4 linked regions of the Alligator mississippiensis genome follow. The protein of the gene in region 3 purifies or fractionates together with the protein of the main gene of each other region. This does not show direct contact. Links are inferred from orthologs where the notes say so. Each region holds a gene or a part of one and is shown on either strand. Other genes may lie near its edges. The genes, in order: NIPBL, REC8, SMC3 and WAPL.

What was found.
Region 1: the proteins of SMC3 (region 3) and NIPBL purify together in Homo sapiens (affinity purification with western blotting; 4 studies listed by BioGRID, with this or other methods). This does not show direct contact. The link is inferred for Alligator mississippiensis from reciprocal best matches to the Homo sapiens genes SMC3 and NIPBL.
Region 2: the proteins of SMC3 (region 3) and REC8 purify together in Homo sapiens (affinity purification with mass spectrometry; 3 studies listed by BioGRID and IntAct, with this or other methods). This does not show direct contact. The link is inferred for Alligator mississippiensis from reciprocal best matches to the Homo sapiens genes SMC3 and REC8.
Region 4: the proteins of SMC3 (region 3) and WAPL purify together in Homo sapiens (affinity purification with mass spectrometry; 7 studies listed by BioGRID and IntAct, with this or other methods). This does not show direct contact. The link is inferred for Alligator mississippiensis from reciprocal best matches to the Homo sapiens genes SMC3 and WAPL.

What each region holds. Positions count from the first base shown.
Region 1 is NC_081826.1:278,648,596-278,656,245, forward strand, and holds the start of NIPBL (nipped-B-like protein), read right to left. Parts: upstream 3,022-7,650; 5' UTR 2,933-3,021; intron 1-2,932. UniProt on the Homo sapiens protein: Plays an important role in the loading of the cohesin complex on to DNA. Forms a heterodimeric complex (also known as cohesin loading complex) with MAU2/SCC4 which mediates the loading of the cohesin complex onto chromatin.
Region 2 is NC_081830.1:7,827,756-7,834,885, forward strand, and holds the start of REC8 (meiotic recombination protein REC8 homolog), read left to right. Parts: upstream 1-4,122; 5' UTR 4,123-5,284; coding exon 5,285-5,340; intron 5,341-5,431; coding exon 5,432-5,500; intron 5,501-5,700; coding exon 5,701-5,843; intron 5,844-6,611; coding exon 6,612-6,687; intron 6,688-6,898; coding exon 6,899-7,013; intron 7,014-7,130. UniProt on the Homo sapiens protein: Required during meiosis for separation of sister chromatids and homologous chromosomes.
Region 3 is NC_081829.1:94,924,126-94,931,256, forward strand, and holds the start of SMC3 (structural maintenance of chromosomes protein 3), read right to left. Parts: upstream 3,017-7,131; 5' UTR 2,919-3,016; coding exon 2,904-2,918; intron 1-2,903. UniProt on the Homo sapiens protein: Central component of cohesin, a complex required for chromosome cohesion during the cell cycle. The cohesin complex may form a large proteinaceous ring within which sister chromatids can be trapped.
Region 4 is NC_081829.1:42,183,537-42,191,121, reverse strand, and holds the start of WAPL (wings apart-like protein homolog), read right to left. Parts: upstream 3,019-7,585; 5' UTR 2,711-3,018; intron 1-2,710. UniProt on the Homo sapiens protein: Regulator of sister chromatid cohesion in mitosis which negatively regulates cohesin association with chromatin. Involved in both sister chromatid cohesion during interphase and sister-chromatid resolution during early stages of mitosis.

The sequences.
Region 1 (7,650 bases), on a different chromosome or scaffold from region 3:
AAAATATTTTTCTCTCTCTTTCATTTCAGGCAGAGTAACCTTAGAAGCCTTACAAATAATACAAATTTAAACCAAAAAACACCAGAAAAACAAAACAACAAACCATTTGAGTGGGGGTTTGTGGGGCTTTTTTGCAATTTCTTAGTTGGTCTAATAAAAGGTATCATCTCTGAACAAAGAGTTCTGGAGTTTTGCATTTCTTTTTATTTAACGGGTATTCTGTTAAGTTATAACTTAAGTTCTGTTAAGTTATACTTTATTTAAATACCTGCATTTATCTTCTTTTTAAAGACATTTTCTTTTTGGTCATACATATATGTCACTTAGATATTTTCTTGGACATGTATGCAATCTCCTACCATCAAGCAGGTATGAAATTTAAATACTTCTGGTTTTCCCCTACTTTTTGTTTTGTTTCATACCAAACATGCAATAACAAGAAAAAGGAAAAAAAATCTTACTCTACACACTTTACTGAGAAGTGGGGTTTTTTTTATATTTTCAGACATTTAAAGGCATTTTTCTGAGCCTAAGAAACTTATCACTAAGTAGCCAATGATGAACCAGATAATTCATATTTAATCTACAACATTGCATGTCTTAAAGAAAAAATAAATCCAAAACACAAATACACAGCTAAAATTAAAGATGTCTATAAGTGTCTCTTATTTTACATACATAAGATAAAAATATCTAGAAATGCATGTTTTTTTATTTTTTTTAAAGGCTGCTGAACATATTATGAGAGAGACTTGACAGGAACTACATAACTACAACACCTCAATTCCAGCTCATCTTACATACTTAAAGCAAACATCCTTAAAATTTAAAGTGCACAAATCAAGATGATTTAACAGCAACTAAGTTTTTGCACATACTAGAGACCTGTTTTAAGCAAACAAGGAAAGAAACACTACAACTAATGTCGCTTCCTGATGATGAAAACTACCCAAGTGCTACTACTATTTCTACACAGTCCTTTCTTTCCTGTAAACTACTGCTACACTCGGCCTCCACACATGCTATGGCCCAAAAGAAAACAGCGATTCAGTTACACACACAGAGAAGGACAATTAGAGACACTCGTGGCTCCCTCTGCAATTCATAAAGTTTAAAAATAAAAGCTGCTTTTTCAGAGTGTAAATGGTTCCTCTCCACGCATGTAGGCCTGAGGCCCTGTTGCAAACAGTGTCTAACAGGACCAGGCAGCACAAAGACAGGAATGGGAGATTAGTGGGAGGGAGGGAGGCCGGGGCTGGGGCTCAGCAGGATCTTCAGGCTTTTTAAAATTCAAACTGCTCCCTGACCAATACAAATCACGGACACGCTACTGACTACTACACGGATTTACAGCATTAAAAACACGCCTTCTACGTGACAGCTATATTAACTTCACCCTTTTAAACATGTATTGGGACGCTTAGAGGCAAGATAGTACATCCTTTATAAGTAAGACCCTAAGCACAAAACACCAAAAAGTTACTTTTATAGACACATTAGCAACATACTGTTAACAGAGATCTCCCTGAACAACTAAAAAAAAAAAATCTCACTACAAAATAGTGGGGCAGGAGATTATGCTAGGTTGCTACACTTTAGCCACTTATAAATTTCCTTTCAATATTAAATATGAAACTTTGTATTACAACAGCAGGATTAGGCTAAATTCCCCTCTAGCTGTACAGCTGAACTGGAAATATGTATTTTTTAATCAGTTAACAGTGTTTTCTTTAAATTTATTAAGATTTTCAACACTATTCTTAACTCCAGCACACAGAAATCCAAGGTTTACTTTACTCTTAAGTTTGCTACCATTTATTTATTAAAAAGGGATACTTAATCACCAGCCATTTACAGACACATTTGACCTGTTAAGATGACACCTAATTACATATTCAAATATCAGGGACACAAACAGCCAATAACAACCCCAGGTCCTCAAAGTGGTCTGTCCTGACAAGAAAAGATTGCACTTTTTAACATTCTTTACTTTTCAGCAATTTTAATGCATCTTGATCCTTAAAATACTCTGGGCCCATCTTTACCTTGATCCCTGAAATGTCACAGTTTTACACTTTGTAAAGACCCCTTTCCCTTTTCTTCAGTTTATTAGAAAGCATACCCCTGGATTTCTTCTATATTAATATTTACGTAATGTACTGAGCATGTAAACGTGGAGATTATGTTAGTAACCAACCTCAAACATTTGTCTGTGTGTATTTCCTGGGGTCTGCAGGTGCTCGCCTTGTGTCAATCATTCCACAAGAGCTAGTTTTAGGCTATAAATAAACTTGGACATTGCCACGCTAATCAATTGGTAGGGAATTCAGAAATTTGTTCTTTAAAGAATACAAATCTAGTCGCATTAACTTCTTCAGGTTCACCCTGGAGTTTGTGCCAGGAGAAGATCCCGGGGACGATAATGGCTATATTTGTTTCTGGGTATTTACATTGTCTCTCTTCCCGGCTCCTCACACCGCTCTCCCACTTCGCGGAGGACTGTCTGCGCTGGGACCGTCCCCCGGCCCTAGAGAAGTTGTAAATATGGCAAAGGATCAGGGCACGTTTGCTGCTAATTGCATTGTTTCCTCCTCCTGCCGCTGCTGCTCCCCGGGTTGAGGCCTGTCACGGAGAAGCCGCTTCGCCTCTCTAATCCCCGAGCTGGAGTGAAGGCGCTGGCCGGCGGGCCTGCGCCCTCCACCGGGCCTGCGCCTCCCGGCAGCCCGGGACGAGCCGATCTCCGCCGCCCACCCCGGGGCAGCAGGAGCGGGGGGAGGCGAAATAAACCCCTCCGCTCGCCACTTACTCGCCGCTTCCCGGAGAAGAGCGAATCCCCCCGGCTCCCGGCAGCGCCGGGCCGCCAGGGCTGGGAGGCCCGGGCCGCTGCTGGAGAGCGCAGGGAGGGGAAGGGGAGACAAGGAGGGGGGATTACCTGAGCAAATCGGCGTCTGAATCCAACGAGAATCCGAGAGCGGGGGAGAGAAATCCGCCCCCCTCCCTCCTCAGAGGAGCCGCCGCCGCTGCTGGGCCGCCGCCGCCGCCGCGGAGCAGGAGGAGGAGGGGAGATAATATAACAACAATAATCCGGGCCGGGAGGGGGGCTGGCTCCTCTTCCGTCTCCTCCTCAGTGCAGCGAACATGTAGAGCCGGGGGGTGAGCGGCCGAGACAAATCCCTTCCCCCTGAGCCTGCTTCACAACATCAACACGGCTGGGCCGGGCCGGGCCGGGCCGGGCCGAACCGGTTCCGAGGCGCACACCGCGCCGGGCCGCTGCCGCCGCCGCCGCCTCTCCCTCCGCGCGGGTGAGTGTGGGGGCGGGGGAGGGGGCAGCCTGGGGCCGGGAGTCGGTACCAAGCGGGGGGAGCGGAGGAGGAGGGGGAAGGATCCTGTGTGTCTCTCTCCCTCTCAGAACAAAATGCCGACCGGAAGTGCAGCTGCAGGAATGACTCCCTCCACCGGCGCCAAACACCAACAGCCTCCCCCTTCCCTCTGCTGCCGCCGCCGCCGCTGCTGCCTCCTCCTCGCTCGCTCGCTCGCGCAGGCAGCCAGGGAGGGAGGGAAGGAGGGAGCCCCGCTTCCGCCGCGCCGCTCCCCGCCCTGCCCCGCGCAGCGGCCGCCCCTGCCCTGGCCGCGGCTCCTCGCTGCGGGCGGCGGCCCCGTCCCCACCCCTGCTTCTGCCTCCGAGTTTCTCTTTCTTTTCCCCTTCCGAGCTGCTGCCTGGGAGTGGAGTCTGCGCCCGGGCCTGCGCCAGGAGGAAGACAGCCGGCGGCTCGTGAAGAGGAACCATTTGAGGGAGGATTTTTTCTTGGAGGACGACTTTCAGGGACTTGGAGAGGAGCCTGAGCGTGAATCCCCGAGGAAGGTCGTCTTCCCCCGCGCAGTGAGTGGAGCTGCCAGACCCGGGACACTTGCTGGATCTTAAATTCTCCTGTTTTTTCTTACGTGTTTTAAGAGGCTTGATGTCACCAGATCTGAAACGCCCGATGGTGAAAGTGGTCCTGGGTCAAGCGATTACTTGCCGAATTTGAATGATTTTTAAAACCAGCTTTCTTGAGCGAATACGGGAGAATTAAAAAAAAAAAAAATGATGCTGAGGTGAAGGGTCCTTCCTTGGGAGCTGAAAGGCTTGCTGGTAGATTTCCTGGAAGCCAGCACTGGGGCTGTGAAGGAAAGGTTGCAGAATGGGACTGCCCTAATCTGGAAGCTGCTCTGTTTTTCTCTTCAGGTAAAATGGGTTGTGAATGATCCCAGCCTGGCATGGCAGCCAAGGCTCCTTCCTATACGCATTAACCTCCTCCTTTTCTGCCATTCTTATAGTTCCTACCCAGCCTTCCTCGGGGAAACTCCATATAATCAGACTGGCATCTAGGATGTGTAAAGACTGCAGGACTGAGCCATGAAGACACCGAGCAGTTGGGCATATGGTGTTGTGCTTCTGTCAGCTCTGGATGGACCTCATTTCCGTAAGGGAGTTCTTAGAGAGCCATGCATTGGTCCTGCATCCATGCACTTGAATCCTGCCTGGCTTCTGTGTCATTTGTGTGTTCTGTGGCTACCACAGATTCAAATGCATCTCTTTAAATTAATAAAATGATCCAGTTCATAATGCTGGAGAGGAAAATGATGACTCAAAATCCATTCTAAGACTTTGTGTGCTTCTGGGTGCAGACTGAGAGAGATGTGATTAGAGAATATTGTGGTTTAGTTCCAAATATGCTAATTTTATATGAATAAATCTTTATGTACATTTTATAGACACGGTCAATTTAAGCCACATTTCTCTTGAAAACTTGTTGACTGCTATTATTAATTAAAAATAACATGTAATCCTGAGTTCTGTAAATACCCATGTGTTTAACCTCACTGTTCACTAGAGCTACTCATGCTAGCAGAATTAAGCATTTATAGACAAAGGGCCTAATAATGCTTTAATTAAAAGGTAAGAGGAGTAAACTCTTGCCCGTGCCTTCATTTGGTTTAGTTTATGAATGTAGCAGTCCTTCATATAGTTGCTTGTACACAGTTAATTCTGGGAATCCTTGTCTGTAGGCAAAATATGGAACTTGTTGATCCTTAGGCCCCAGGACTTCATATTGTTGCGCACACACATTCTTAGTGTAAGTCAGCTGAGATGTTGTTTTTGTAATTTTAAGCATGGAGAATCAGGGTGCATCAGCTTCCCCTCTTATTTATGCAGAATTTTTTGCGCAGGCAGAAAGAAAAGCAGGAATAAGGAAATCTGATTATAAAACCATAAATTTAGCACAAGGACGCAAGGCCAAGTGTAATACTTACCTCATTCTACTTTCTAACTTTGTATTACTGCAAGATTCAAGTTGATGGACTCTCTAAATGGTTTTACTAATTACCTTCATGATTAAATATTTAAAAAGAAAGTTATAGAATGGAATAAAGTGATTTGCACTAAATGCAACTTTCTTTTTCAGTATCATGTCTTTCCAACATAAAGTGTGGCTATCTAGTGTAAATGGCATGGTAATAAAATGCACCCCTGTGCCTCTGTTAGATTTCTATCATAAGCTTAACTAAGATTGAGACTGGCCCTTTTTTCATACTTCATCAGCCATGTTTAATCAATTAGTATTACTATTTAATCAGAGTATTACTTAGGAAAGCAGTCATTTTTATTTTATTATTATCTGTATCAGACAAGTTATAAATAATTTCATAGACATTTGGGCTGGAAGGGACCCCGGAGGATCATCGATTCCAGCCCCCTACATTTGAGGCAGTGGTTGCTTTGAAAGTTATGATATACAAAATTAAGCTCTTTAAATGAAAAATAACTTTTATAATTATCTACAGCAATTATTACTCTGTATTAACTTGTACAAAGTAAGATCCCTCACAATCCTGTAATCTGATACACACAAGCTAGATAACAATGACTCATTATCTCTATTTTGGGGCTCCATGTAGGCACAAGAATGAGGGTTCATGTACATATATACAAAACAATTCAATATGCAAAAATTCATCACACCTTACATGCATGATGTCCAAAAAGGAGAAAGATTATGGTATCATAGAAGTTCTAAAAACAAAATATTAGAAAATATGATAAACTAAAGGCTAGTTTACAGGTCTGAACCTTGTTCTTCCTGTAGGCCCCTGGCCTGCAAGTGAATCACAAGTTTGGGGAAATAATTTTATGCACAGAGCTGATAAGTTCATAACCTCATTCTACTCTCTTTGAAGTCAAGTGAAGGCAGTTAAGAATGTATGTTTTCCTCTAACTGTATTATTATCTTTGCTGTAAATCTAAACTATATGGAACATCAGTTAACTCTCATAATATTTCTTGTATTTTTCAAAGTGGACTGATACTTCAATATTTTTACAAAATAGTCAGAAACAAGAGATTATACACACAAGAAATAACATAGAGAAAATATTTCTTTCAAGGATAAAAGAAGAAAGCTTGAGTCATAAATGTTTTACTACTGTTTTTTACTACCAGGTGAAATAAACTTGCAAGAAGGATGTATAAAATTGTATCTATAAATCTACTATTCAGAAGCAGAGAACACTTTTTGGCCTCTTGGATTTTAGGGTAAGTCCCCAGATATTTAGTTTATGAAGCTGAATAATTAGTTACGGGCAATGTGCAGTCTGGCATTTAAAAATATCCAATATCCATGTTTTCATAGACTCTGATGTACACACTTATATTATCTGATTGCTTGTTAGATTGTTAATATTTATATTTCTCAATCTTTTCTATTTGTGCCTGGATAGGTTTTAGTATAATCAAGTTCCTCTCGTTTTAAGCTTTGCTTGCTGTACAACTTCCTATATAACTAACAGTTAAATATATATTTTAACTGTTAGCTATTTCTTATTTCTTTGTGGCCAGAATTTTTTAAGGATTGTCTATCATATAACTGTATATATAAAAGAGTCTTAAAAAATGGCTATACTTTAAAAAATGGCATTTTAAAAATTTTGTATGTATTTTTGGGAGATAAGTGTATATTGATACACTGTAAAGTGAGTCGCATAGGATCCTAAATTTAATGCATCAAACTTACTTAGATTTTGGTGTTAAGTCTTGGTTTCGACCATGAATAAGAGAGGAAACGATGAATGCTGTCTGCAAAAAATATAAATATAATATCATGTTTTCTGCATTGACTTTTATCCACAGGAGCAAATAATTGCACCATATAATTGATTCATTGGGGAATATTCAGCATTAGAAGTAAATAACCTTAAGATCAAGTTAAGTCTAAAGTGAAGCAGATAAAGAAAAAAAATGAAATAATTTGCAGCTTGTAAAATAAAATATTTGTATACCTATTTGTTTTGCATGTTTGCAACCTGAGGGTTACCATTTATTTTATCTGATGTGGGAAATGTGCATAAAATCCTATCCCATTGCAAATTTCCCTATACTTGTTCTTTGACATGATTCAGGAGTAGAAACTCTGATGTCATGGAACAATAATATTAGTTTTCTTTCCCTCTAAAGCAGTGAATCACAACCAGGATTCCTTGAGTTCCTTTCAGGGATGCTGCAGAGAGCCACACAAAATTAGCACTGTTAGGTGTGAAAACATGATTCACAAGATAAACCCAGACGCATCAAATAACGATCCATAATGTTAAAAATATTTTGAACTGTTAGCT
Region 2 (7,130 bases), on a different chromosome or scaffold from region 3:
CGTCTGAATGGTAATTATTGGCGTCGTAACTATCTACAATGATGTCTTTTCTGTGACTCTCAGTCATGAAAGTACATCAGCCATTGTTATCCAATACAGTGAATATTAGAAGTTGGTATTACTAGAGGTCAGGATACATCAATTTATTCCATAGCAAGTCATTAGATATTTATTGGCACTATTAGAAACTTGATATATTTTAATGTGTACTCATGTATATTTAGCCACATGGATTGCCATTATTACCCACTGATCTACTGTAGTTACACCAATATATAACAATTAGCCATCCTTGTAATTAATAATTATTGTTGTCATTAATAATTGTTAGCACTCTTAAAAATAGTATATTATCTATATTGGCTATATTAACTATTAGAAAATCAATATATTTCATATGTTAATTTGATATAATAATGCATATTTAATAGATTATTGCGTATTTAGCCACATGGATGACCGTTACTACCCATTCATCTATTGTAGTTTCACCAATATATAACAATTAGTCATCCTTGTAATTAAAAATTATTGGCACCGTTAGAAAATTAGTATATTAACTATATTGACTATATTAAGTATTAGAAAATCAACACTTTATATATTTTATATAATAATGCATATTTAATAGACTTGCATATTTAGCCACATGGATGACCATTATTACCCATACATGTACTGTAATCTCACCATTATATAACAACTAGTCATCATTGTAAGTATTAATGATTGGCACTGTTGAAAAATTAGTGTATTAACTCTATTGATTATATTAACTACATTAACTTTTAGAAAATCAATATTTTTAATGTATATTCATGCATATTTAGCCACCGTGGTAACCATTATTACTCATTCATTTAGCGTAATCACACCAATATACAGTTAGTCATTCTTGTAAAAATAATCATTGAGGATTTGTTACCATTGTAATTAGCCATAATTTTACAGGTTGGGGTGTTAGGTCTATGTTGTTTCAGGGTTGAGGGTAAGTCTTAAACAGAGTTTAGACTATGGTTGTATGGGATGGTTTGGATAGGGATGACCCTGCATCAGGCAGGGGGTTGGACTAGAGCAGTGGTTCTCAGCCTGCAGGCTGCATGCGGCCCAATCAGCACACTGCTGCAGCCCATATGACATCCTGTTAATCGGGTTTTTTCAGTGGATACACAGGAAGTAAGTTCTGGGTGCAGCCCACATAACACATTGGGTGCTTGTACATAACGTGTGCTGTTTAGATGCACGTTGCGAAATGGTGCCAAAAATCACTTTTGCTAGGTTAGTTGTGTGTGAAAATACAGGTTGAGAGCTGCATGGGTGGCCCACTGTGGCAAATAGTCTGAGATCCTCTGGAGTAGAGGATCTCTGGAGGTCCCTTCCAGCCTGACTTCTCTATGACTCTATATACATTACATTTATTAATCTATGGCAATTAATTTCCATAGATATTGGGGTGCTAATTATTTATTAGCCCATATTATTACAATCAATAGGAGTGGATTTACATCTTCATTTTATGTATTTTTTATGAGTCTCTTTTTTACCTATAATATTATTATAGTTTATAGCATTCTTAATGATCTATTATTATGAATATTTAATAATATTACTGTTTGGCCATTTGGTGGCCAATTGGCTATTGACATTCATGGTTCGTGGCTGACTATTTAGTATTTGAGCATTTGTTTGATTTTTGAATTTTGTAGTTATTGTAACTCAGTATTATTCCTCATAGATTCATAGATTCATAGATGTTAGGGCTGGAAGGGACCTCAATAGATCATTGAGTCTGACCCCCTTCATAGGCAGGAAAGAGTGCTGGGAGAGCACCACCTCCCTTGGGAGCCCGTTCCAGACCTTGGCCACTCAAACTGTGAAGAAGTTCTTCCTAATGTCCAATCTAAATCTGCTGTCTGCTAGCTTGTGGCCATTGTTTCTTGTAACCCCCGGGGGCGCCTTGGTGAGTAAAGCCTCACCGATTCCCTTCTGTGCCCCCGTGATGAACTTATAGGCAGCCACAAGGTTGCCTCTCAACCTTCTCTTGCGGAGGCTGAAGAGGTCCAGGTGCCCTAGTCTCTCCTCATAGGGCTTGGCCTGCAGGCCCTTAACCATACGAGTGGCCGTTCTTTGAACCCTCTCCAGGTTATCCACATCTCTTGAAGTGCGGCGCCCAGAATTGCACGCAGTACTCCAACTGCGGTCTGACCAGCGCCTGATAGAGGGGAAGTATCACCTCCTTGGACCTGTTCGTCATGCATCTGCTGATGCACAATAAAGTGCCATTAGCTTTCCTGATGACTTCGTCACACTGACGACTCACGTTCATCTTGGAGTCTACTAGGACTCCCAAGATCTCTTTCCGCTTCCGTGCCACCAAGCAGGTCATTCCCTAGGCAGTAGGTGTGCTGGACATTTTTCCTCCCTAGGTGCAGCACTTTGCATTTCTCCTTGTTGAACTGCATTCTGTTGTTTTCTGCCCACTTGTCCAACCTGTCCAGGTCTGCCTGCAGCTGTTCCCTGCCCTCCGGCGTGTCCACTTCTCCCCATAGCTTTGTGTCATCTGCAAACTTTGACAGAGTACACTTCACTCCCTCGTCCAAGTCGCTGATGAAGACATTGAAGAGTATCGGTCCAAGGACCGAGCCCTGCGGGACCCCACTGCCCACACCCTTCCAGGTCAATACCGACCCATCCACCACGACTCTCTGGGTGCGACCCTCTAGCCAATTCGCCACCCACCAGACTGTGTAGTCATCCACATCACAGCCTCTTAACTTGTTCACCAGTATGGGGTGGGATACCGTATCGAAGGCCTTCCTGAAGTCTAAGTATACGACGTCTACCCCTACCCCTGTGTCCAGGCGTTTTGTAACCTGGTCATAAAAAGAGACTAGGTTGGTTAGGCACGATCTGCCTGCTATGAACCCGTGCTGGTTTCCCCTCAGCATAATTTTTCCTGCCGGGCTCTTGCAAATGTGAGCCTTGATAATTTTTTCAAAGACTTTGCCAAGGATGGAGGTGAGACTGACTGGCCTATAGTTGCCCGGGTCCTCCTTCCTCCCCTTCTTGAAAATGGGGACCACATTGGCCCTTTTCCAGTCCTCTGGGACCTGGCCCGTGCGCCACGAGCGTTCAAATATTCCCGCCAGTGGCTCTGCAATGACGTCCTCATTAGTTGGAGTACACTTCTTTATAATTTGGTGACCATCTCAGGGTGTTTTTCTTTATTATTAGTCATTTGTTAAATATAAGGTCATTTATTTATTTATTAGGCATTTTAAGCAATTTATTACTAAATCAGTATTCCCTATTCAACAGTAGTCATTTCTTAATGAACTTTTTTGGGATTATCATTTTAAGTCAATTGATGAAAAATCATCATTAGTGAAGGAGGGGACATTTCTTCTGTTAACAGTGACATGTGTGGCTGGCTCTGTCCTCATGGCTAGAATTCATTGTTAACAATGGCAGAATTTAACCCCTCAGAAAGTAATTAGCAATGATGGAACACATTAATATGACTTTTGTGACAGTTAATTATGTTAGCAATAATTAGTGTTAAGATATAACTATAACCTAGTCGTACTCTTCATTTAAAGTAGTTATATAGGGTTTTTTTTCATTATATTTAGTAAGTGCATATAATTTTACTTTAATTTAGAATATTTTAGGTGATTTATTTATTCTTTTTCATCGTTGATTAAAGAGCTGAGCTTCTGCTGGTCTGTTGCTTTGTTAATTGGGTTGGTTAATTGTTCTAATTAAGATTCCTTACAGCCTTCTTTAGCTAATCGCGCTGATTTCTTACAGGTTTGTAAATATTCATGAGCCCCCGCATATATTAGCGTGTAGATAGGGTTTGCTTCTGAAGAGAGAGCGCACCAACATGTCTCGCCCCTCAGAAATTGGCGGGAAGCAGCCCTTCCCCGTGATTGGACAAGACCGGGGAGACCGGACTCTTCCCATTGGCTGGGTTCGGTGAGGTCACGAGTATCCCTGGAAGATTTCTAAGGCCGAGCAGGCGGAGTACCACGTGTTTCTGCTCTCTAGTCACTTATTGGCTGGGAGCTGCCAGGACCCCGTGCGGTCTCCGGGGCAGGCAGAAAAAACCCCACGTGGGCGCGCCAAGCTGATTGGCTGAAGTCCGGCAGCTCTGTGCAAACGGCCAAGGTCTCCAGGTAGAACGCCGATTGGCTGTGACGCGACAGAGCCGCCGGCAGGAGAGCGCGGCGATTGGCTGGGACCGCGCTATATAGCGGAGAGGCAGGCGACAGAGCTGTACCTTGTGCGCTGTGGGGCTGGGCGCTGGATCTCGTCATCCACCGGCTTCATTGATTAATTTAAATAATTAATCAGCAACGTCTTTAATGATTCGGCTGCGAATAATTAATTCCCACCGCCATTATCTATGTTAGCTTCTAATTAGCTTAACATTAGCATAATTCATTGTCTATTGACACCTACAGCAACACTAGTTTTGTTAATTACTTAATTTGTTAATTAGTATTGCTGATTAGTTAATCAACAATTCCCCTACTTGTTTTCCCATTAGCTGCTGTATTTGACTGGGGTCCCTGGTAGCCCTTATACAGCCGCTCTGTCTTGGCTTTTAATTAGTTAGCTGTTTATTAGTTCCAGTTAATTAATTTGCTTAAGTAATTGTCACTAATCCTCTCCTTGTTTATTGCTAATCGTCCTATTAACCTTTCAGCACTTGCTATTAATTGCCTTCTGTCTTAACGAATATTAATTGTTTGTTAACCCCTGTTGATTATCCCAGTTATGAACCCCTGTTAATTCTTGGGGTGCTGGGTAACTATTGTCACTCTTAAAAGTTTGTTATCTCTCATTTAGTATTGTGGTTAATTCTTCATTCCATCACATTCATTAATTAGTTATTGATGTGTTTGTATTAATATTAATATTCCTAATATTATTATACAAGGTTATTTAATGTTCATTTATAGCCCTGCTTGTTCCTAGTCTGCATCTTGAAGGAGCACATCTTGTCAGTTTAGCCCTTTTAAGTTCCAAAGTCCTCTCTTGCCTCCTTTTAATTAGCCTCAATAAGGCCAACAGCTTAATATTTAATATTCTAGTTCATTCATCTCCCCTCCACCTCATTAGGGGAGGGAGGTTTTAACTGTCTCCATTACTAATTAAAACCCCCACCAGTCACTTTTCACCCCTTTTTGGGGGTCTTTCCTGTCCTCATCATCCCCCGACCCGCTTTGCTAAGTGTTTAGTCTGGGTGTGGGCTCACTGGTCAACCTCATCGACTGCCATGTTCTACTACCCCAATGTGCTGCAGCGCCATAGAGGCCGCTTCGCCACCATCTGGTAATTACCCAGCTGGGGGGGCATGGGGGAGGGAAGGATGGGGGGAGGGGGTCTCTGGTGCCACTCCATATTAATGACCCATCTCCCCAAGGCTGGCGGCGACAGGTGGCACAAAGCTGGTGAAGAGGGAGTACCTGAAGGTGAACGTGGCCCAGACATGGTGAGTGGTGGGGATGGATGGATGGGACTCTGGGGATGGCTGAATGGATGGATGTTAGATGGAAGCGGTGGGGAGGGAGGGATGGCGAGGGGCTGTGAGGATGCTGGTGGGGGGTGTGGGGCTTCTGCCTGGGAGGGCTGCATAGGGTGATGGGTCTGGGCTGACACCGGTGTTGACCCCGCTCCCTCTGTCCATGGCAGCCAGGAGATCCTGGCGTTTGTGCTGGTGCAGGTGCCGCCCCCAGTGCCTGGAGCGCCCCGGCCCCGCTTCTCGCTCTACCTGTCAGCCCAGCTACAGTATGGCGTGGTGTGCGTCTACAGCCGCCAGTGCCACTACCTGATTGGTCAGTGCCCCCTACTCTCCTTGGGACCCCTCGTTACTCTCAGTACCCCCCCAGCCTCCTTGGAGACCCCTGTTATCTCTGGTGCCCTCCAACCTCTCTTGGGGGACCCCTCGTTGCTTCAGTGCCCCTCCTGCACCCATGCATGTGTGCCTACTACAGATTAGCTCAGCTGGGCTGCGGGGGAACAGTGGGGATAACCCCCTCAGCACCTTTACAGCCCATTACAGGGCTGGTAGCACTGAGGTGGGGGGGGAGAAGGGGGGCACCCTATGGGGCAAAGGTCAGCCCCCTGTGACCCCAAATAATTCTAGAGTGGAGACAGACCCCCCGCTCTCTGGCCCCCAGCTAGGCAAATGCTGCTCCCTGATCCTTGGCCTTTACCCCACTGCCCCAACCCTGTCCCCTGGACTGCATCCAGATTTGTGCCCTCTGGCCTTGTCCTGATGAGTGCCATATGCCCTCTGATTCCACACTGACATGTGATCCTGTGCCTCTGACCCTGCCCTTGACCTCCTGATGCCTCAGAGCAAATTCCGCTCTCCAAAATCTGGCCCCACATCCCTCCCCTCGCCCCACCAAGACCCCTGGCCCTGTGCCCTCTGACTCTGCCTTGGCTCCCCAGTGCCCCCATAGTAGATCCACCTCCCCTCCCATGTGACCCCATTTTTCTGCCTCCACCTCCTCTGAACTTGTGCCCCCTGATCCCACCATGCCTTCCTGGCTCAATACCTGACCCCACAGTGACCCCTGACCCCATGCTCCCCCCAGAAGAGATCCAGCAGACCCTGGAGCGCCTGCATCGCTCCCAGCAGCAGATCCGCATCGACATGGTCGACCTGGAGCAGTGAGTGGGGACCCCCCCACCCTCACCCCACAACTCCAGACACTGGCCAGGCCTGTGGGACATCACCCAGTGTCGTCCCCCCCAACTCAACCAGACCCTGGAGGGTGGGCAGAAATGGGAGGGGTGGGGTTAGGGGGCCAGAGGATGGGGATGGGTAGGGTGGGGGAAGGTGGATGGACCCCCCACCTACCTGCTTTGCCCCCCACACCAGGCCAGGGCTGCTGCTCCCTGACAACCTGGCAGCGATGGAAGCCCTGGAAGACGCACCTGAGCCCTTCTTTGGAGTGATGGAGCCGCCCTTGCCCAGCCCCCGCTGCATCCCCCAGGTACGGCTTCCCATTGTCTTAGATCAGGGAACCAGTGGGTCGTTGAGAGAGACAACGCTGGAGAGACGGGAGATGTCATTTTATTAATGTAAATTTATTCAGCAGACAGGACACACC
Region 3 (7,131 bases):
CCTCCCCCCCACCCCCTAGACAGCTGATCACCAGGCTGCAATCTTTAAGAAACAGCATGCATGCCCTTCATTCATGGTAAACAAAATGTGTGCCACTTCCTCCTCTCTCATGGCACAGACAGAAGTGACAATTTTCACTTGATTTGGCCCCCGGAAAGTGATCTACAGCCACGACCAAACATAAGTGCATGGCTGCAGAGAGCTTTAAAAGGGCCTGATTCCACAACAACCTGAGACCTCATCGCATGAGGGTTCAGATGAAGACACTCCAAAATGGATCACCTTCATTTACCTCTGTCTGCATGTGTCATGAGCAGGGGGAGGGGGAGGGGGAGCAGGGAGGGAAGAAAATGATGGGAGTTTGGTCTGGGGTTTTTTCAGCCAGCGCTGGAGGGTGGGGCAGTTGGATTGGAGCCCCCACCTCACAGCTGAGGGCATCTGGCTTGGCCCAACGAGGTGCCGTGGCAGCTGGAGCTGGCAGTGCTCGGTATGAGGGGTTGCCGGTCCCTCACGTGGTGCACAGCCCCAGGGTGTTCCTTAGGGGTCCTGGCAGAACAGCAGCTCCAGCCTGGGAAGCCACTGTTGCAGCCATAACGGAGAGCCCTGCTGTGCCACTGCCCCTCAGGAATGCCCTGGGGCCATGCTCACTGCACTAGGGCCCAGCAGTGATCCCTCAGACCCAACACAGCCTGCTGCAGCTGCCAGGGCAACTACTCAAGCTGAGCCAGCTACACCCTCAGCCCTGCCTTAGGGCTAGGGCTGGTCCAGGTCCCAGGTGGCTTCAGCACCAATGGTGGGAGGGGGAAGGACGCAATGCGGGCAGCAGGACCAGACACCCCCTCTCCCCCACTTCTCCTGGGGCAAACTGGGAAGCACCCAGCAATGCGGAGGAACCTTCCAGGTCCAGGCTGTGGCAGGAGGCACAGGGAGCCTGTCACCCTTCCCAGGCCCCACTGCTGCAGGGGGGTTAAGCAGACCCACTTGCTGCCCAGTCTTGCTGCTGCGGCTACCATGGGAAAGTCCTACCTGACCTCCGTAGGGGGCTCTGCACCTGTTCTCCCATGGCAGTGGGATGTAGCCCTGGCCCCAGCCCCTGGGGACGAGGAGAAGCCTTACAATCCCTTAGTGACTGAGCCACACCCACTGGCCCACACCCGCAGCTCCGCACTACTGACCTGGGGCCGCACAGCGCTGGGCACACGATGAAAATAAGGGGTGGGGACTGTTCCTGCCAGAGCTCACTAAATAGGTACACGTACTATTGGCTAACCACTTAACCAATATAACTAGAGGACCTTAAATACATATTTTTAAACAGTACTGACATCCCTAATACACAGCTAAGATTCCCTGCCTTGCTAAAACACCATAACCAATGCCACCAAGCTAACAAACTCGCAGAGATGCAACAGAACAGAGCTCTTACACGAGATCCCCCAGAGTAAGTGGGAAATTGCCCAGAACAACCTACTTCTGCGATCTCTCAGACAGATAAGATAGACGGACAAAATGTACACTTTTCTAATGATCACAGATGTTGGTGCTATGCTGATTTCATTATTTCCAAGATAATTGGCAGGACTAAAATATTAAGCATGGGCATAAAATCGTCACTCTTTGCCACCAAAATAATCACTGCAACATATGTACCCTATTTATCCATGTCTACAAATAAAACACCTGGATTACAAGGAAAAAAAGAATTCCAGATTCTGTTGATTTGTTTAGTAAATGATCTTCCCTCAAAAACGAAAATTTCAGAAACGGGAAGGGAAATCTCTCCGCACGAACCAACTATTTACTTGAACAGCTTCCCTAAAAGAACGGGTTTTGCCAAGCACTTCCGAACGGCCAGCGACCTTACAATGCCAGGACCTCTTTCTTTGCCTTCAGACAAGAGGAGCCTACATCGAATTCTTCACTGGACAGCCCTACACGCTCAGTCACACACGTGAGTTCACCGTCAGTCTAGCACACCTGGATGAAATGCAATAATCCACACGTGACAGCGATTTCATTTTTTGAAGCCATTTGAAAACTGCGAATAGTCAGAAACATTTACTTCAATCACATTAATTAAGCTGGCTGTTTGCCATCTCGAATTTTTTTCTGATCCTGGCTCTCTGGGCATTTGACACATGCAAGTACCCGGCGCTGTGGCACTTGCAGGTGTATAAAGACCACATCGGTCAGTCTGAGAATAAGGCTTTGTCACCAGTGTCCTCTAAAACGGTCGTTTCATCGCCAAAATCCTCCGCAGTCCGATCGTTGCTACCTCCAACCAGCGTTGCCCGCCTTTCCCTTCAAGCTTCAGGAAAGAGTTTGCTTCTAGTCATATCTCTGACCTGATTTCCTTTCGGCCGCAATTTGACTGCCGGTCTGCAGTCGCTTCTGGTCCGGCGGCCAACCCGGCCCGGCCCGGGGCGGGGGTTGGGGACCCCCGCTCTAGCCCCGACGTGTACAACTACAACTCAAATTATATTTTTGTAATAAAACAGTGCCATTATTTGTTTCATTAATAGAATAAGGGTCATACAATGCAACGAGTCGGTAGCAAATTTAAAAATCACACACACACACACAGAGGGGAACGGACATCTGTGTGTATTAGTGTGTGTACAACTTCCCATCTATGGACAGAGATGGAGAGATGTGTACATAGTATGTAGGGGTAGGGGTGTGCGTGTGTGCAGACACAGGTGTGGACGCGCGCACGAGGCCGAGCGGCACATGCACACGCGCGTCCGGCGGCGGGGCCCGCGGACCGACGTACTCCACACACGAGCCGCGCACAACCGCGGGGAGCGCATTGTGACCAGTGGGGGAGGCCCGGCCCCGCCGTGAGGGGGTCCGGGCAGCACGCCCGACGCCCCGATGCCGGCGGGGCAGGGCCCGGGCCTCACCTGCTTGATGTACATGTCGCCCGCAGGGGTGGGAGGCCGCCGCCCCGCCTCACGGCCGCGCTCCGGGCCTGCCCCGCCGGCCCCTCACACCGACAAAATGGCGGCGGCGCCGCCTCCCGCTCCCGCTCGGCGCGCACCACTCGGTGGGGGCGGTGGGGGGGACGCCAGTAGAAGGCTCTCGAGTAGCGCCCACAATGCCGCGCGCGGACGGGCTCCCCACCCCCCCCACGCTGGGAGAAGTGGTTCCGCCCACGGGAGGGCGGGTTAGGCGCCAAAGGCGAGAGCGGCCAGAGCGAGGCCGCAGGAAGGAGAGGGGCGGGGCCTGGGGGGGGGTGAGGGATGCCCTGTTGCCATGGCAACAGACCTAGGAGCATCCCCAAGCTCCTGCTCCCTCTTCGCAGGGCCCGAGGGCCTGGGGTGCGCACCCTCGCAACCCTGGGGCTGTCAACCCTCCCTGGCATCTCCGGCGATTAGAGACCGCCCTCCTGGAGAGAAACGAGAAAATAAATATTAAATTATTGAATCCGGATGCATGCGTGCGCACGGCGGGCTTTTTTTCAACGCAAGACTCGCGTGCCTTTGCCTGCCTGACGTCGAGGCTAGGCCCCAAATGACAGATGCGCGCGTCCACGTTTTGCATCGGCGTTTGGGAAACCTCCCGGGATCGATCCAGGTCGAGCGGGCCCCGATGGAGGGCGCCGGGCGCCCGTGGAGACAACCGGCGCGCAGGGGAAGGAGAGAGGATGGACCGTGAACGATGAGCAGTGACTTCTTGGCCGAAATCGGAGAGCCCTCCGGAGCCCCACGCCCAATTTGGATGCATGAAAGCTAAATCCTTCGAGAGCAACTAGGTGCAATATTACCTGGGCCTCAGGGGCTCACCTTCGCGCGCTAAATCGTTCAGATTTCCCCGGGAGAAAAGCCTGCCTGCGTGCTAGGCGGTGTTTTCTAACCCCGACATCCCCTATTGAGGCAGCAACGATTGACGTGATACTCTCACAAATTCGAACAGCGATACCTAAAAAAAAAAAGAAGAAGAGAAAGAGAGAACTTAGAAATAATATTTGCAGGCAGCTGTCTTTCTAAGGCTGTGTGCTCACGTTTATCTGTGGGGCAATAAAGTGCCTCCGTATTTTGTAGGGGTTTAGGTTGTAGCCGTGTTGGTCTAAGGATATAGGCAGACAAGGTTCCTTGGGTGAATTTGATATCTTTTATTAGACCAACCTAAATGGTTGGAGAATAGTTATTAAGCATGCTTTCGGGTTCAAAAACCCTTCGTCAGGCTAAGGAAGCTGCAGCAGTTGGTGTGTACTCTACAAAAGCAGAGCGCTGGTGGGGATGCGCACGTGCAAACCCCCCCTGGCTGCAACATGAAAAAGTCACCTCGAAGGCATGCTTTCCAGCCAGGGGTCTGTAGCGGCTATTTTTTACTTCCCATTCTGGCCCCAGGGAAGCTGGTCCGCGAGCCCAGCAAACTCATCTGATCGACTGTTGCTGCCCCAAGACAGCTGATCCCCGCCAGGGATCGGCTGTTGCCACTGCCAGGAAGATCTGCTTCTGGGCGTGTTCAAGAGCACTAAGTCCTGACAATGCTGGGTGCATCTACACAAGACGCTTAATGCCCATTGGACTAATTCTACTGCACGTTAGCACAGCTGGCAAAAATCGTGCTAATGGGCTAATAATGTGCAGTAGCTTTAGTCCAATGCGCATTCAGCGTCACGCAGAAAACATTCATTTCCGTTAATGCGCAGTAGCTTTAGTCCAATGGGCATTAAGCGTCATATAAAAAGCATTCATCTGCACTAATGCACAGTAGTGCTGATTATGATGCTTTAAGTTAGTACCTGTAATAACTTACTGACGACAGGTACTAACTTAATGCGCATTAATGAACTTGTAGATGTGCCCACAGAGTAGCTAGTTCCCTAAGCCCCGCCATGATCCACAGATGAGGCATTTCTCTGTCTAATTTTCCTGCAGGGTTCGATACAACAGGCACTTTCTGAATACACCTATGAGCTGGAGCAAGTAAGGCTGCTGCTGCTCCACCTTGGAAGATTTGGGTCAAGTTCTTCCTCTGTTTGAAGGGCTTTAAACCTGCATTTCCCGGCTAACTATAAATTATTCTAGAATGGTTGCCCTCAGTCTCTCACTTTGAAGCTGTTCTACTTTTCAAGACATAGTTGATCATTTTCAGGCCAGAGAGACAAAACATGACTGTACCTCAGAGGTTCGTTAGTACAGTGATTCTCAACCATGGCTATGGCAACCTCAGGTGCCTTGGGATCCTTTCAAGGGTGCCATGGTATGCCACATAATATTAGCACTGATACGTGTGCAAACACAATTCACAAGATAAACACAGAGATTTCAAATAGAAATCCATAGCTGTGGTCTTGCTGAGCAGTTTCCAAAAAATAAAATAAAATAAGATAAAATGCTCAATTACTTTTTTTGTAGTAAGAACTAAGAGCAGGCATTTTTCAAGGGATGTTTAGATTTTACCCAGGGGTGTCTCCAGTCTAAAAAAGATGAAGAACCACTGAGTTAGAACATGCACTTAAAACGGGGGAGACCTGGGTTTCAGTCTTCAGTGAAGGTTTTAGTATTGTATATTCAGCATTCATTGGGGCAGAAACGTGCGTCTCTTTCCTCCTCCTAACCATTAAGCTATACGATCATTCTCTCCCCAGTTTTCTTCTCCATGAATATTTAATTGTTTTGTGAAAAAACAACAGCTTCAACAGAAGAAAGATAGGCAAGAAAATGCCTTGTTTGAGAGACAGCCTGGAGATTAGGTACGACATGAGCTAAGTGATCCAGTTAGCTCAGTGGTGAGGAGTTGCCAGTGGTTCCTAAATGATGGGTGGAGGTAGCTATATACTATAGCTCATGGCATGAGCTATATATTAGTATAGTACTACTAGTATAGTAGTAGTAGTAGTACTATACTAGTAGTACTATACTATACTAGTATAGTATAGGCATCTACACCTTTAAGCACCCAGGCCAGGTCCTCATATAATTCAGGGCAGAGTGAGTGAGTGTGCATACAGGCATGGGGATAAAATAAAGCTAAACCTTTGCATTCCCTTGATCCTGGGCTGGTTGCAAGATGGATCAGGTTCTTTGACATGAATTAATACAACCTAACCTGAGTCGGCTGCTAATAACTTCAGGAGTCCATGCAGCAGGTAGGCATCACTCAGGTGTAGTTAAACCTTTATCATGATGACCTCCTTAATCCCTTACTTAATCACCTTGGAGAAAGCTGGCAAAGGAACTGCTCTAGCAGTGCTACTCACCCATCTTCTCATGCAGCAATGGAGAATATGATCCACTAACTCCTGGACGTTTTGAATGACAGTTCAAAGACATGCTTAGAAAATAAAATCCTCCTGTTTGGGGTTAAGGCACAGAGCTGAAAGCAGTCACCTTTGATGTTTGAGATGACCGGACCGACTGATTAGCTTTTACCGGAGTTCTGAAAATGGATCTCTGTACGGGACTAGTAGACTTGGCTTTGCTGCAGTTTTTGCTATTGCTCCGTCTTTGTTCAAGACAATAACAGGAATGATGTGCACATTCTGCGAGAAATAATAGGCCAGCAAAGATTAGCCTGAGTCTGTATCTACTCCTTTATCTCCAAAGGAGCACATGATTAATTCCAGAAGCTGCTGTCAAATGCACAAAATAAACAAATTGAAGAGAGAGAAAAAATTTTGTCTTTTAATCTCTTTTCATTATAGAAATTGTGGGTGTTAATTGTGATAACAGTAAAGGCAAAGTTATGAAGAGGAAATGAGATTTTTCAGCTGGACAGTGTTCCAACAAACGTAAATCCTACCAAAATTAGTTTATATGTATAATAGAAGCCCTGTAGCTATCCCCTTTATAGTTAATAAAAAAAATCATTCAGAACATAATTGCCTGGTTCCTGTCTCTCTCAGAATAATAGATCAGTGAATTACTTCCTCTGTTTAATGTCGGCATCCCCAGTGCCCCAGCCACCTTACCTGCCCTTTGATAAAATGTTTGTTAGTGAATATTATCCATTGGAGTGGTGTTATAATACATTTTGCTTCTACCTTTAGACAAATTGTTTATTGCTGCCTCTACATAAAATACAACACATTGCACAATAAACAGTACATGTTGAATGAATCATTCTGCTGAACAATTACAGGAGGAGAAAATAACATATCCAGCACTTCTGAATGACACA
Region 4 (7,585 bases), about 53 Mb from region 3:
AAGTCAGACCCCCTGCCTGGGCAGGAGGAAAACTAGGCTCAAGTGACCCCAGCCAGGTAGGCATCAAGCCGCTTCTTAAAGACCCCCAGGGTAGGAGCTAGCACCACTTCCTTTGGAAGTTGGTTCCAGATCCTAGCCACCCTAACTGTGAAGTAGTTCTTATGGATGTCTAATCTAAACCTACTCTCCAATAACTTGTGGCCGTTATTCCTTGTTATCCCAGGGGGCGCTAGGGGAAACAAGGTCTCCCCAAACCCTTCTGGTCCCCCCTAGTGAGTTATAGATGGTCACAAGGTCCCCCCTCAGCCTTCTCTTGTGAAGGCTGAACAGGTTCAGGTCCCGTAGCCTCTCATTGTAGGGTCTGCCCTGCTGTCCCCGGATCATGCGGGTGGCCCTCCTCTGGACCCTCTCAATGTTGTCCACATCCCTCTTGAAGTGGGGTGCCCAGAACTGGACACAGTACTCCAGCTGTGGCCTGATCAGTGTCACATAGAAGGGGAGGATCACCTCCTTGGCCCTACCTGAGATGCCCCTGTGAATGCACGATAGGGTCCGGTTAGTCCTGCTGACCGTGACCTCGCACTGTCGGCCCATGTTCATCTTGGAGTCAATGATGACTCCAAGATCCCTTTCTGCCTCTGTGCTCTCAAAAAGGGAGTTTCCCATCTTGTAAGTGTGCTGCCGGTTACTACTGTCCAAGTGCAGCACCCTGCACTTGTCCGTATTGAAACGCATCCTGTTTTTGTTAGTCCACCCTTGCAACCTATTCAGGACTTTCTGCAGTCTTTCCCTCCCGACTAGCGTGCCCACCTCACCCCAGATTTTGGTATCATCAGCAAATCTGAACAGGTTGCTTTTCACCCCGTTGTCCAAATCACTGATAAAGAAATTGAACAGTGTGGGCCCAAGGACCGAGCCCTGGGGACTCCGCTGCCCACTCCCCCCCAGGTTGAAAATGACCCATCTACCACCACCCTCTGAGTACGACCCTTCAGCCAATTAGCAATCCATCTGACTGTGTAGGCATCAATGCCACAGTTGCCTAGTTTTTTTAATGAGGATGGGGTGGGAGACAGTGTCAAAGGCCTTGCTGAAGTCCAGAAAGTATTAATAGATTAAATCAGCTATTGTTACAGTCACTTTCTGGTCAGGTCTATCTTTTGAGTCTGCACATACAATACTAAGAACAGCAAACACATACAGTAGGGAAGAAGTTGTTGTCTGCAAGGGGGGGGGGAGGGAGAGGGGAGAGCATGCGATAGGACTCCACACATACCACTTTGCATTGGGATTTTTTAAAGTTACGGGAATTTTTTTCATCGTTCCTAGGATTTGTAAGAACACATTTTAGAAAGCTAATTTTGGGTCTATAGCTGGCTTGATAAAGTGACCTTGTTTCTTATTTGCCAAGTATTTGAAAGGCTTTACCATACTTCACAACCTCCCACATACGTACAGATAACCATGGTATGACTGGCAGTAGCAGTCACAAACACTTCTGGCATCATATAAATGCAGAAGTCTTGCTTTCTTTTTCACTTTGGTCCACATTTCCAACTTGAAATTTCTGACTCGGTTTGCCCAAAAGACCAAACTGTTCTCCAACAAATTCATTTTGATGGTCAAAGCTACTAAGACTCACTCAATAATTAATCTCTCTTGACTTGGCCAAGTTGCATTCACTACACAAATGGATTTATCTTAATTGTCTTCTCTTCCAGATGTAAGAGAACAGATTCAGCCAGGGCTCAAGAGATTTACAAGCTGGTTGGTTTTCATTTTTGAAGATCCAGAAACCATTAACAGATTCAACTTTAAAACATTACAAATCCTGCCCCCATTCCTACTCCCTCTTTGCTTTTCACTCAGTCTGGGCAACTTTATTCAGTTTCATTTTCTTGTTTCCATTCCCTGCCCCCACTTACTTCTCTGACCCAACACAGCTAGTGCTGCAAACATGTGAATGCAAGCAAAACCTTTGCTATAGCTGGAAAAAACAGTCTCTAAAGCAGCTGCTTCTCCCTATGATCTGCAACACTGCGTTTGGGAGGTGGGGGAAGTACAGTCAGAGGCCGAAGTAGGCCCAGCTCACAGCTGCCAGGCAAAGAGGTGCCATTCATCCTCACTTCTTCCCTGAAACCTTCCCCCTTACACAGCATCAGAGGAGAGCAGGGCAGAGGCGGACAGACACTGAATGGGATGAGCTACTTTCTCCATGTGCAGATGGGGGAGGGGGGGAGGCTAGTTTAAATACAGGCCAATTCATGATGTCATTTCCCGTCGTCCCCACCCCCCCCAGCCGGCCCGGCGGACCCAGGTCCCGCCATCTACTTCTGACCCAATTCAGGCTCCCCACAAACAGAGAAGCGGCGGCAGCCTATAGAGGCGATGCTGCCCAGCCCGAATTAGAGGCCACCTGATACTCTGGACATGGCAGGCAGCCGGGCCTGGAAGCGCCTCCGCGGGGCGTCCAAGTCTCCCCCAATCCCCACACCCGCGGGGACTGCCGGGTCCGAGCTGGGCGAGGCCGCGGCCCTGCTGGAACTTTCCAGTTCCCTCCGCTCCGCCCGGGGGGAGAGGAGGGGGGAGGAGGAGACCCGAGCGGAGCTGGGACTGTAGTTTGGGGACGAGGCGCAGCCGGGCGGCAAGAGGCGCCGGGCCTTCCCCGCCTGGGCCTCGGTCCCGCGGCCCGGCCCGGCGTGGCGCTCACCTCCGTGTCACGCAGGATGGACGGCGGCCTGCGGCGGCCGGCAACAATGGGGCACGGCTCGGCGCGCGGTGCTCTCCGGCCTCAGCCCCGCGGACACGGCCGCCCGGGTCCGGCGCCGAGAGCCCGGCCGCGTAGGCAGGGGTGCTTGCCCCGGCGGTTCCTGCACGCCCCTGCGCCGCGGCGGCGGGATCCGGCCTGCGCGGGGCGGCGGCAGTGCGGGGCGCTGGCGCTAGGGCCCCCGGCGCCACCTCCTGCGGCGCCGCTTTCTCCGCGCCGGGATTATCGCCGCGCTTTGAACAGGGCCCTGGACCATCTCTCCGCCATTTGCCCCCCGCTCCTTCCGTCACTGCGCTTCCCACACTCGCCGCCGCCCGCAGCCAATCGCACCCCACCTTACTCAACCGACCCGCACGCCGCCGCGCATGCGCTTCCCCGCGTAGCTGTCACGTCAGCACGCGTGCGCGGCCGCGCGAGGAGCTGCCGGGACTTGTGGTTCCACAGGGCGGGGCCGCCCTCATTTGGAACTAGGAGGGCGGGGCCTGGGGAAAGCGCCTGCTTCCGGTGTCTGCCTCGCACGTGCTGCTGGTGGTACAGTCTGCGCCGTCCCCGCTTTTGCCTTTTTGGGGCTTGGCCCAAGCAGTCCCCAGGGGCATGGGCGCCCCGCGGAGCCGGGGATTTCCGTACACGCCTGCAACCGTGGAGGGGGACCCCGCGCGGGGCCGGGCTCCTTCGGGGCGGGCAGCGGCCGGGGCCCCGGGCGGCCTGGTAGGGGCTGCGACGCTCGTTCTTTTCCCTCTGGAAAGGCGACGTCTGTTTGCAGCCTTAGCACCGAGGAAAGCAAAAGCGAGCACCCGCGTTTCCACGGAGCTGGGAATTCAGAGCCAGACAAGCCTGGGACACTCACCTGCAGACTGTAAAAAATCATATTTAAAAAAAAGGAAATTACAGAAGCACAACTCAGTAGGAGGCTTCACAAGCACCTGCACCGGTTCTGAATAACTTTAAGAAAATGAGCAGGAGGGGAATGGAAGGTAACTGTATCCTTTAGTGCTTGGTTAAGTGACAACATGAAACAGTTAAAATGTGTGCAGACCCGCTTTGTTACTCAGTTTAAAAGAAACTTGATCTTAGAAATGATTGTCGTGCAATTAAAGCACCAAAACAACCTTAACTCCTCTGGAGTAAAATGCAAAAAGAGAGAGACAGTATTATCCAACCATATGATGCCAATCTAACTGCAAAAATTTCAGCCTTATGAGCAGCTATAGCCTGTCCTCAGCACACATTTTATAAAAAGTGGCAATGTGGAAGACAATGCCAAAGGCCTTCATTCCACATTTTTATCAAGACATGCCACTGTTTCCACTAGTACTAGTAAAGACCAAACAATAACTACATACTTCTGAGGGATAAGTAATGATGTTAAAACCCTCTAAAAAAAAGTAAAGGTTAGTGTAGTGACAAAACATACAGATTGTATCAAACAAACATACAGTAGTATCCAAATTTAAAAACAATCTGATTCTAGAAGGTGAAAGATTTTTTAAAGTCTTTATTTAGTTGCTCATATTTCTCATAAAGGATGGCGCTTTACTGATACAATGTTTTTACAAACTTAAGATATCCACAGTTCAAGCCTAGTCCTAAACTTCTCAACCCCCTGAGAAAAAGACTTGGAGGCAAAACTCTTCTACAGCAGAGAGACCTGATTTTGCAAATTCTGAGTAATTTGACTAGGGATTTTCAGGATAAATCTACATATAAATTAAAGAGGAAAGATGGAAGACTGCTATTACTAAACCAAGAGGGAAGGGAGTGATTTGGGAGATTAGCTAAGGATTGTGGTCAGGGATTTCTTTTTGCTCTTTTTCCTCTTTCATTCATCCAGGTTTATTTAAATCCATTTTAAAAGCTTATTTAAAAGAATTAAAAGGCTACATTTCTTTCTTCTTTGCAAACTCAACAAATGAAACAAATAGGCTTGAATTTCTGTGTTTACTTATAACCTTCAGTCACAGTCATGATATGTTAATAGTTTGTAGGGTTTGTGAGCCACACACACTCTTTAGAGCAGGGGTGGGCAAAATGCGGACCACCAAGCCATTCTATCCGGCTTGCAGGGCCCCTAAAAATTTAGAAAATTAATATTAAGCTGCCCTGGGCTGCCTGTCATGTGGCTCTCAATGGCTTGCCAAAACTCAGTAAGCAGCCCTCTGTCCAAAATAATTGCCCGTCCCTGCTTTAGGGAGATGACACAATTGGTCTTGGAGAAGAAAAAAGGTAATTAGGAATATATTGGGGTCATGTGATTAAGAGCACAAGTATAATTTGGGTAATAAAGGGAGACATTCATTTTGGATGACAATAAGTTTAAAAGGTTAAAGATAAAGATCTTTAACAGTTTGGTTGATAGCTTTTGAAGAACTGGTGGCAGTAAGTTACAATAAAAAAAGTAACATAAAAGTGAGTTCATTTTTTCTGGTTGGTTATCTTGTGTGGAAGCTAATAAGTGGTCTGTTTAAAATTCAGGATTCTAATTAACACTGACCCATGATAAATTTTTGTTAGTTCTGGAGAGGCAAGGGTTTTTTGGGGTGATATCTTGTATTGGACCAACTACATGGTTGGGATAAATTTAGACAAACTTTCAAATGCAAGGCATCAGATCCTGAAGAATCCCTTCATCATTGTTAAAAGCTTAGTATGTGGAAGACCAGAAGAACTGAAGATCCTCATCAGCTATAACTTGATTTAAAACAACCTCTTTCTAAGCTCTCATGTACCTGAGCCCCTGTGGACAAGTTCCATTTCTGGTCTTTGTGAGAGAGTCCCACGCATCTTGTATTCCAAAGCATTACATATTCACTGAAGGGTCCTGATGGGAGTTGTGGCAGACAGGGGATAAATTTAATCTAACTTATGCACTGATGGTCCTTTCTTCTTTTTTGGTAGGCATTCAGCAGATGGCTGTAGGCCTAGCTAATTAAAATAAAAAGCTTTACAATTTTATAATAATAACTTAAGGATAAAGGGAAAATGTTCAAAAGAACCAAAGTGACTCACTGCCTTCCAATGGGATTTAAACACACAAACTACTTCAAACACTTCTGAAATTTTTATACAGAGTAACTTTGAAAATGTGGCTCTCTACATTAAGCAGTATTGCTTCTAATATATCTGTATAGCCTAAATATGTGCAAGGACCAATAAAAGGCAAATAGAACCTAAAACCTGTAGACTTTATTTTTTGTCTGTAGAAAAAGTTCAATTAGGTTTGGATTACCAGGCATCTCTATTTTGTTGGGTGTGACCCCCATCTCCTACTAGGTGTCCTCTTCCTGAAAACCCCCCCATAAAAGGTAAATGTTTAATTACCAGATGTTTTTCATTTCTTCTAGCAAGTCAGGTAGCAGTTTAAATCACTCAGCCTCTCCTCAGAGCATTAAGGCTCAGTATCCTCTTAGTGGGCATATCTACAAGAGAAGCTACATACACAGTAGACTAATTCTAGTCATTAGCATGTCACAGCAAAAGTCATGCTAATGACCTAATGCACAGCAGAATTAGTCTTCTTAATAGCATCACAAAAAATTGTGCGCTGGTGCTACTTTGCAGTAGCACTGGTTCCTGTGCATTCAGTTAGTACCTGTTATTATCAGAGATCCAGGTTTTCTCTGATTAAAAAAAAAATCCCCAATTTTCAGATTTAAAAAAAGTAGCCCCAAATCCACATTTTTTTCCATGATTAAAATGAAACACCACTAATATATAGATAGCTATATAGTGGTGTTTCATTTTAATCACGGGGAAAAGTGGATTTGGGGTTACTTTATTTAATCTGAAAATTGGAGATTTTTTTATCAGAGACAACCAGGATTCCTGGTTTTTACAAATACTAAACTGAATGTGCAGTAACCCAAGGATGCTGAGAGAGTTGGTTCATGAGCTTGCACACTGGTTGTTATCTTTGCAAACTCGTGGTGATTGAGAGAGGTCTTAGACAATTGGAAAAGGGCAAATATAGTGCCCATATTTAAGAAAGGGAAAAAGGAGATTCTAGGGAACTACAGACTAGTCAGCCTCACCTCAGTCCCTGGAAAAATCATGGAGTAGATCCTCAGAGAAGCCATTTCTAAACACTTGGAGGAGAAGGTGATTAGGCACAGTCAGCATGGATTCACCAAGGGCAATCACCAACCAGATTGACTTGTTGTGGCAGAGCACCTTTGAGGATGCTCGCCACTTGAGAGCTCTCACAGGCTCTGAGGGGAGCCTGCTTTGGAGGAGCAGCAGGTGAAACCTCCCCCAGATACCATTTTAAGAGGGGAGGTGTGTGGCAGGGCATTGTAGATGCCTGCCACTTTAAGGGCCTGATCCAAGCTGCCAGCAGGTGCCTGATTGTGGCAGCCATTTTTAGATCCCTGGCTGCCTTTATAACCAGATCAGTTCCCTGCTGGCAGGGAGGTAGTAACATTGCCTGGCTGTGAGGCTTCATGTATCATCCTGGAGGTAAGGGAGGAGCTGTAGGGGAGGGCTAGCAGGCTCCTGGTTCTGGGCATGCCCTAAAACTGCACCCTGCCAGGAGTGGGTGGCTTGGTGGGGCTCTCAGTGGCATGGGATTACCCAGGAAATGCCAGGCCAGTTATCACCCTGGTGAGAGGCGGGTAGGGGTGCCTTAATTCTAGTGCTCACCTTTGTGTGGTTCTGGTAACACCAGGGGTAGTGAGGGCCGGGCATGGCTATGGCCACCTGAGCCCTGAGGGGTACAAGACCCCAAGAGACCCTAAGGAGGGAAACTGAGGGCCAGGCACAACTATGGCCACCTGAACCCTGAGGGCTTTGCTTGGTTGCCTTCCTTGCTGGGCTGTGCCCCAG